Linked DNA regions of Drosophila melanogaster. Changing the gene in region 2 together with the main gene of any one other region gives a genetic interaction. Each region holds a gene or a part of one and is shown on either strand. Other genes may lie near its edges.

Region 1 (4,637 bases), 7.3 Mb from region 2:
CAACAAAATTAGGCAAATCACATCACTGTCAAGGGCAAATTTAGAATGCGACCAGTTTTTGGTGATGTATTGCACTGGCTGGCTATGTCGTCAGCACTGATCTAGACTGGCAATTAATATCCGTCTTTGTCACCACTTTAGCGGCCAAAAATCGTAGGTTATTTGCTAATTTTACAAGGAAAAACAATTGTTTTTTTCGCGGATTTTTGTAGACGTGTTTTTCTTTCACAACAACTACGGCGCAGCTGCGGGGTTAGGGTTGCCAAGGTCCCGCAAATGGCTAAAGATTACCGCAAAATGTCTTTATTTAATGTTTGTCCATTAATTATAATTATTTTGGCTATAAAAAACAAGTTTGATGGCTTACAGATTGAATGTTTATTGCACAACTATGATGTTTTAATTAAAAGTGGTACGCAATGCTATGGTCTGGCAACGCCGCGCAAACACCTGTAACAGCTGTCCGCGTTGCGTTGTGAATGGTCAACAGCTGTTAGACTTTTGTTTATTTTTGTGCTTTTCTAATTTTTAGAGATCAATTTGAAGAAACTAGCGAAATTCGGCGGAGTTAATGTCACGGAAACGTTAAATAACCAAGAACTTGATGCCTACGTACCGCTAAACAAGCTGCGACGCGCGTCGATTTTCAAACTGAAGTTACAGCCCGAGCTGCACGACAAGTACAATGTGTTTGTTCGCGCCGAAAGAAAAGCGGATGTGTTTCTGGGTGAGTTATAGTAACAAAATAACAAACAACCTGGCGGTATTGATTGCCACACAGTACTGAGTCCCCGTTAGCTAATTAAATGCTCTGAGACTGGGTTTCGGACTGATAAGGGCCCGTGATCTGTTTCGTTTGCCCCAATGAATACGAATCTCTACTGATAACCGCGCTTCAACCTTGGATGGAATCGTCAGCGTTGACGCCATCATCGATACATTTCCATAGGGCAAGAAAAACACGTGTGCGCAATTGATTTAGAAATTGTTTTCTATTTCCCTCACAGGCGACATCATCAAACGCATCGACAGCTACTACAAAACCGGACAAACAAAGGCCAAATCAGCCAAACTTCAGTTTCCCGACAAGGAAAAGGACACGGAAAAGCTAGAGGAAGATGTGGACTCCCCGAAGAACGAAATCGAAACCTTTTCGGAGCAGGAAATCCAAAGTTCTCCTAATCTGAATCAAACGCTTTTAGCTCCCAGCACTGGGCAGTCGAGAAGCACCCTAAATGCCATGCTTCTCCAGCGATGTGGCACAAAAATTGAGTTGGGCATTGAATCGAAACTGCTGGTGATGGCTGGTCAAACAGCTACGCTACTCTTTGAGGTCACCAACATGAAAACGGAAACGGTTTACTCCACCATTCAAGTCACCGACGAGCGGCGCTTCTTGGTTCAACTGAATCCTACCAGGTTGGAGCGCTTAAGAGCGAAGTCTTTGGTTTACACATTATATATCTTACGTACTTCTGCCTTTGTAGATTAAGCCTGCGCGCCCAGGAGACGGCTACAGTGCGTCTGACTGTTCTGGTGCCCACTGGCACAGCTCAGGGCACCACAGACCGGATTACCTTCACCAATTACGGTCGCGAAACATCTACTCTGGCGGTAAATCTTAAAGTGGTGACTAGCATAGATGCTCAGGTATGTGAACAGCCGATAACCTGATTATGAAAGCATAATTGAAATGTTTAAATATAATTTCCAGGACTCAACTGGACCTACACTATCCTGGGAGTTTGGCAGCCGCTGTGATTACCTGACGCCCGAATCCCAGAATTGTGGTGAACGTTTTTGGACTGTGGATGTGACCGCTCAGGACTGGCAGTCAGGCATGATGCGTTTGCAGGCCTCGCCGCCAGAGGGTCTTTTCTACAGAAACTATTATACTGCTGGTAGCACAGAGCCCCTGAAGGCAACCTACATGGCCTCTTGCTGCGAACCAAAGGTATCACTCATCGCTTTCGATGCGGCCGGGAACCAGAGAAGCCTCACCATCGATGTCAGAGATGTGTATTTGAACGAGGCCGCCATTGCAGCCATTTGCCTTGGAGTCATTCTCCTGATCCTGCTTATTGCAGCCCTCATATGGAGCATTGTGTGGTGTTGCAGACGGAGGAAGACAACGCTGGAGCTGCCCACATATAGATCCCACTCCACTAGGAGCATGGAGTAGATTGTTGTTATGTTATTGTGCCAAGTTAGAACCTATGTGGTCTCGAAGTCTAATAAAATGCCATAGAAGTACCAGATATACAATATGGCACCGTTTTACTAAATGTATGCAAATATTTAGGATACAATTGTTTGTCCCTGCATAAACTACTGAAACGAAGTGCAACTTAAAAAAAGTAGTATAAACAATGTCGGTGATTTCAAACGATTAAATGGACTTAACTAATGTCTTATTTAGGAAAACTATTATAATATATCTATATATTTGTTCAGCTAGTAGTAGGTATACATATTTGTTTAAGCCAAAATAAGTGCTGACCTGACCCATTCCTCTATACACTGAAAGTAGTTTATATTAACTTGATCCGTGATAAAGTCAACCCCAGTTTATGAAGAGGGTAAGAAGGTCAAGTGCCTTGCCAGGCTTATCAGCTTATCATTATAGCAGCCGAGCAACAGGTGACCCCCACTCCGCGTTAGATTCACGAACGTACGGTGACCCACTTACCGCGATTCAAGATGCCAGCGATGAGGACGGGCGCCGCTGGAGGCGTGGCATGGACCACGGGCGGGGCGGCTGGCAGGAGCTGCGGCTTGTTGGGGAAGTCGTCGAAACTCAGGCCGGTCACGGAGGCGCTCAGAAGCGGATTTTTAACGACACGCGTCTGGTTTGCGTTGTTGTTTACGCGAGCGGACACGTCACCTTTCGATCTTTCCGACATATTAGCGGCCGATCTGGAGCTTTAAATTGGGCTAACTCGATATGAAGATGTGTGCCAAGTGCACAGTTGCCTTAGGAATTATTTTTATACACAGGATATTGACACCCACGACGGATTAAAAGCGTTAAACCCGAGAAAACTTCCAGGCAGGCAATATTCTGCTTCTTTCCGCGCATTGGCCATTCGCCATGGAAAGCTTTTACCAGGGCTGCAGCGGATCCAGAAATGGATAGGCAAAAGCTGGTAATCAAAATATGCTTATAACATATATATTCCTAGCTAGTTTTAACTGGGAAAGAGTATGAAATCTCCGTGACTACCATAAACAAATTTTCAAAAATCCAAATAAACAGCAAAAATAGCCAAATATTGCTTTTGCTGCAGCCCTAATTCTCGGATATTATTTCGAATTGCAATTTGGGAAGAAGAAGAGTGAAGTAGATAAATCTTGATGATTTCTGCAAATATTAGTTTTTAAATAAAATTAATGGATTTGTAGAAACTCTGACCGTATTAATCGAGTTTAGGACTACAAGTGCCGTAAGCCCCGTCATGCCACTGTTTTAAAACAAGTGGAAAACCTTAGGGTCAATTTTTTTTGGGGAGGAGACCACAACAAATAACACCCACCGAATTAACTACGATTACTCATCGCCGGAATGTCTGGAAATCCTTTCGACAGCGACGAAGATCAAAGCTCGGCCAGTGGAGAGATACTAGAGGGCTTCCTATGTCCCATTTGCCGTGCGGATCTCAAGTCCATCGATGTGCTCACGGATCATTTTGCCCGCCAGCATGCGGAAGAGGAGGATGCCCTAAAATCCTTTAAAGATATCTTTACCAAGGCGAAAAAGAAGATCCTAAACCCCTTTGAGGATGAAAAAGGTGCATCTGTATCGTCGCCCGCAGGTTCCTCCTCTTCAGCGGCTGGCAAGAATCCCAATGGCAACGGAGATCGCAATGGACCCAGTAATGCCCGCTCCCGTCTAAATGTATTTAACTATATGGCCAGGCAGCAGCCTGGTGCTGAGTGCTCCCACTTCGAGTACTTTCAGTCCATTCGCAATCCTCGCCTGGAGCGATATGCCAGCGAAACAAACAAACTAATCATTCGTTTGCACCGCCTGCTTAAGGATCTGCCAGCGGATTCAGTGCAGCGGCGTCAGCATGAACAGCAAACAGTTGCCTGGCTGGATGGTAGTTCCGTCAAGTTGTGTCCCAGTTGTGCCAAGAGTTTCCACATCGCCCGAAGACAACACCACTGCCGTTTGTGCGGAGGCATAATGTGCAATGATTGCTCCAAGTTCCTGCCCCTGGAAGATGCCAGTTTGTAGATCCAATAATTGAGGAAAATAATGTAACTTATTTGATTATAATCCCGCAGTGCAACTAGCCAGTCTTTCCACCACAAGAAGCGAGCCCCTTCAGCAGCTGCATCAGCATGAGAACGCCATCCGGCTGTGCGAACACTGCCTTTGGCTGCTGGACACCCGAAAGGATATGCACGAAAGTCGCACTTGTCGCCCACTCCTCGTCCAGGTCTACGAACAAATTCGTCAACTACAAAAAGAAGTTACCCCGGATCTGGACATGTATCTAAAGATCATCAATAGCTTGAACGAAGGGGACACAATCTTCACGTTGGCGGATGCAGGTGCTTTGCGCGGCAAGATTGGACAAGTGGCAGAGGCCATGGACATGAGGAGCAAGCGCATTCTAGCCATATTTTGTGAA
Region 2 (3,447 bases):
CTAAGCTCCGACAAAAAGTTCTCCTTCTGGGCTGAGAAGTGCACGGCACTGGAGTATTTTAAGAAAAAGTACAGGAATATGATGGAGCGACTGATGGACGCGGAGCAGGATCCCAAGGTGAAGCACGCCCACTCCTTTGACCTGGACACTATGGTCCAGCACCAGCGGGATCTGGCGCCCAAGGACCGACGCCTAATCGAGGAATACTACAACAGCCTGAACCGTTCCGTTTATCCAGACCACAAGCACCACTTCACGCTGGCCAAGATCTTCTCAGGCTGCTTGTCCAACTATTCCGGAGTGGACGTGACCATGGTTGGGCTCTTTAAGCCGGAGTCGCGGTTCTACAAGAAGGATCAGCACGTGGAGGACTACCTCTTCATCGATGTAAGTTACACTGACATAAGCTGAGCTAATCCTTAAATGCTAACACGTATCCCACAGTTGCACATGGGACCGACTCTTCCCATCCTACTGAAGGCCGTGCTCGTATCCTAGTGAAGTCCTTAAGATTTGTATGCATTTATTGTGGGTTTCATTCCATTCGGAGTGTATGGGGGCTTCTTAGTCTTATGTGCAGTAATAAAGCTTATACTCCAAAGTCCTCAGCAGTACATGTTGAGCTGGCGGAAGAAGTAGTGGAAAATGAGCAGAACGCAGAAGGAGCTGGTCACGGGCAGACCAGCCGCCTTGATCCATCCGAGGATGTTGAAGTCGTCCGGGTAGAACTCGAACTGCTCCGTGGGTATCTCGCCGCAGTTGGAGATCACCACGGGTTCCACGGGGAAGTCATCCGTATCGGTTTTTACCTGGAACGAAAAATGTGTCAGAAAAAGTTTCTTACATTTCTGTGTGGTGGCTATGCGTTTAAGCCACGATTGTGGTTCCGGTTTGCTTGAATACTCACATCCTCAATGGCATAGATGGTGTCCATTCCCTCCAGCACCTTGCCGAAAACGGTGTGCTTTCCGTCCAGCCACTTGGCGCCCACGGTGGTCACATAAAACTGGCAGCCATTGGTGTCCGGGCCCCGATTGGCCATGCCCAAGTAACCGGGTCTGTTGTGCTCCACCGCCAGAGCCTTATCCTCGTCCGGAAAGTAGTCCCCATAGATGCTAATGGAGCCAGTTCCGTCGCCGTTCACAATGTCGCCGCCTTGGACGAGAAAGCGGTCCACCACGCGATGGAATCGCGAGCCCACGTAGCTGGTCCCGTTGATGCCGCGCAAGCAAATGTGCCGGAAGTTGGCCACCGTCTTGGGAGCCAGCTTCCCGAACAGTCCAAACGTGATCCTGCCCACCGGCTTCTTGTTGTGCTTCACATCCATGTAGATCCGAGACGTGACCGTGAAGCTCAGACCACTGGCCACGGCCAGAAAGGCGCTGCACAGGATTATCCGATTGAGCAATGACTTCATGATTTTACGGACCTAACGCGCTGATGAAATACACGTAACTGAAACGAAGACTGGACTGTGGAAACTATACGAGTAGAAAGTCAATTCTGGGTCGCGGGCCTGGAAACGGAAGCCACAAAAGTTTCAGGTTAAGTGCAAGCACCGCATGATGATGGCATACCCTCTGCAGACATCGATTTCAGCACCCGGCAGCAAACATCTTGTTCGGTTTAATGGCAAACGTAATGTTTGGCTCAACTATGTTAATAACTAAAACTTCAAAAGTATCGTTTCTAAAAGTGCATTCAATTCGTTTCACTAAATAAATCAACTGCATTGGCTTTGCATCATATGACTTGATATTTAATTGTGTAAATTTAAACTTATAAATATTTAACCTTATGGTAATCAGCATAATAATAAAGTTAGCGGGGCAGGGAATTGAACCCAGATCTTAGGCTAAAAACTTAGGGATAGACTGCGTCTACACAAAAATATACCGAATACATATATACACTTAGATTAACTTGCGGCGGCTAACCTGGATACAGTCTTCATGTGGGGACTCGATTTCGGAAATCTTGGCCTCCGTTGCGCGTCTGAGATCTATGCAGCTGAATCTTCCGCAGAAGATTCGGGTAGGTCCTACAAGCGCTTCTTCTGCGGATGCACATACTTGCAGTTCTTGCCCATGTTGCAGTGTCCTCGCATGAACTGCTTGCAGACGCCGGTGTTGCCATTGCCTCCTCCACCTCCTCGATTGGGGCCAGATCCTGCTGAGCGCCAGTTGCCGCCGGAGTTCTCCTGGAAGTTGTTGCCCCCGCTGCGCCAGATGCCGCCGCCGTTGTTTTTGTTCCTGTTGTTGTTGTTGTTGTTATTCCTAGGTCCGCCCATCATCAGTCCTGGCCCCATTCCATTGGGCGGCCCGTTCATCATGGGTCCATTGGGTGGGCCGTTCATCATGGGGCCGTTGGGTCCCATCACTGGACCATTGGGTCCCATTACCGGTCCCGGACCTGGTCCATTCATCATCATGGGCGGGTACTGATTGAATCCAGGTGGTGGGCCGCTTCCGAATGGAGACACTGGACTTCCAAACTGATTGCCCATAAAGTTTTGCGGTGGCATGTTGTTCATGTTCATATTGCTCATATCCATTCCGGGGCCACCGGGTCCGTTCATCATGGGCGGTACACCGGGCGGCCCACCTACCGGACCCATTTGGTTCTGCCAGATTTGCGGCGTTCCGTTGGGCACTTGATTTGGCATCATGTTTGGTCCGGGTGGCATTCCCGTGGGAGCAGGCATGCCTCCCATGAACGGATCGAATGGATTTTGCATTAGGTTCGGTCCAGCTCCCAGTCCGGTCAACATATTGTCATTGAAGCCCATGTCCGATCCGCTGATATTTGCTCCGACTCCCGAGCTAGGCGCGTATTTCTTGGGCTCCGGCCACGCCAAGGCACTGTAGTCGTTGACAGCATCCGGATTCCCCGTCAGGTCATCCATGGGTATCACGGGAATGTCATGAGCAAAATGCGGTTCCAGTTCCGCCTCCGCAGGACTGTCGGGAATCATGTCGGGCGAGAAGTACAGGGCTCTTAGAGTGGTGGCCTCCCTGTCCATCTGCACCTGGCGCTGCTTGGAGAGGTTTCCGTTCGGGTGGTCGGGCACATTATCGACTTCGAGTAGTGGCCGCCACTCCATTTGCGGCTCCATGGTATCGTCGAATCCACGCCGAGCAATGGTCAGCGCGTCCCGCTCGCTGAATCGCTCCATGTTCTTCATTTCCAGGAAGGTCTGCTTCATCACATTTACGCGCTCTGAGCGATCGACCTCGAAGTATCGTATCTGGGTGAGCTTTTCCTCTGACTGCCAGGTTAGCTTCTTTTTCGGGCCCTTGCGGCGGTGCAGCGTGAGCACTCCCGGTGGTCCATCGGGTCCACAGCCAGGTCCAGGCTTCTTGGGCTCCTCGGGAAGATCTTCAGCGTTGTCAGAGGTGTTACCCGCTTCTCCGCCTTCTCCGCCTGCCGCAGCCTTCGCCTTCTGCA

What was found. A genetic interaction does not mean that the proteins touch.
Region 1: of ninaA (region 2) and PAPLA1, changing one enhances a phenotype caused by changing the other (phenotypic enhancement), as found in Drosophila melanogaster (one study listed by BioGRID).

Annotation. Positions count from the first base shown.
Region 1 is NT_033779.5:8,156,530-8,161,166, forward strand, and holds the start of PAPLA1 (phosphatidic acid phospholipase A1), read right to left. Parts: upstream 3,047-4,637; 5' UTR 2,904-3,046; coding exon 2,690-2,903; intron 2,258-2,689; exon of another isoform or gene 2,183-2,257; coding exon of another isoform or gene 1,715-2,182; intron 1,651-1,714; coding exon of another isoform or gene 1,488-1,650; intron 1,420-1,487; coding exon of another isoform or gene 1,008-1,419; intron 728-1,007; coding exon of another isoform or gene 533-727; intron 222-532; exon of another isoform or gene 1-221. Other genes in the region: CG43394 (uncharacterized protein), read left to right, coding at 533-727, 1,008-1,419, 1,488-1,650, 1,715-2,182; Rbsn-5 (Rabenosyn-5), read left to right, coding at 3,563-4,229, 4,288-4,637.
Region 2 is NT_033779.5:875,332-878,778, reverse strand, and holds ninaA (neither inactivation nor afterpotential A), read right to left. Parts: upstream 1,478-3,447; 5' UTR 1,418-1,477; coding exon 908-1,417; exon of another isoform or gene 810-907; coding exon 606-809; 3' UTR 509-605; downstream 1-508. Other genes in the region: CG15824 (uncharacterized protein), read left to right, coding at 6-387, 445-498; PNUTS (phosphatase 1 nuclear targeting subunit), read right to left, coding at 2,042-3,447.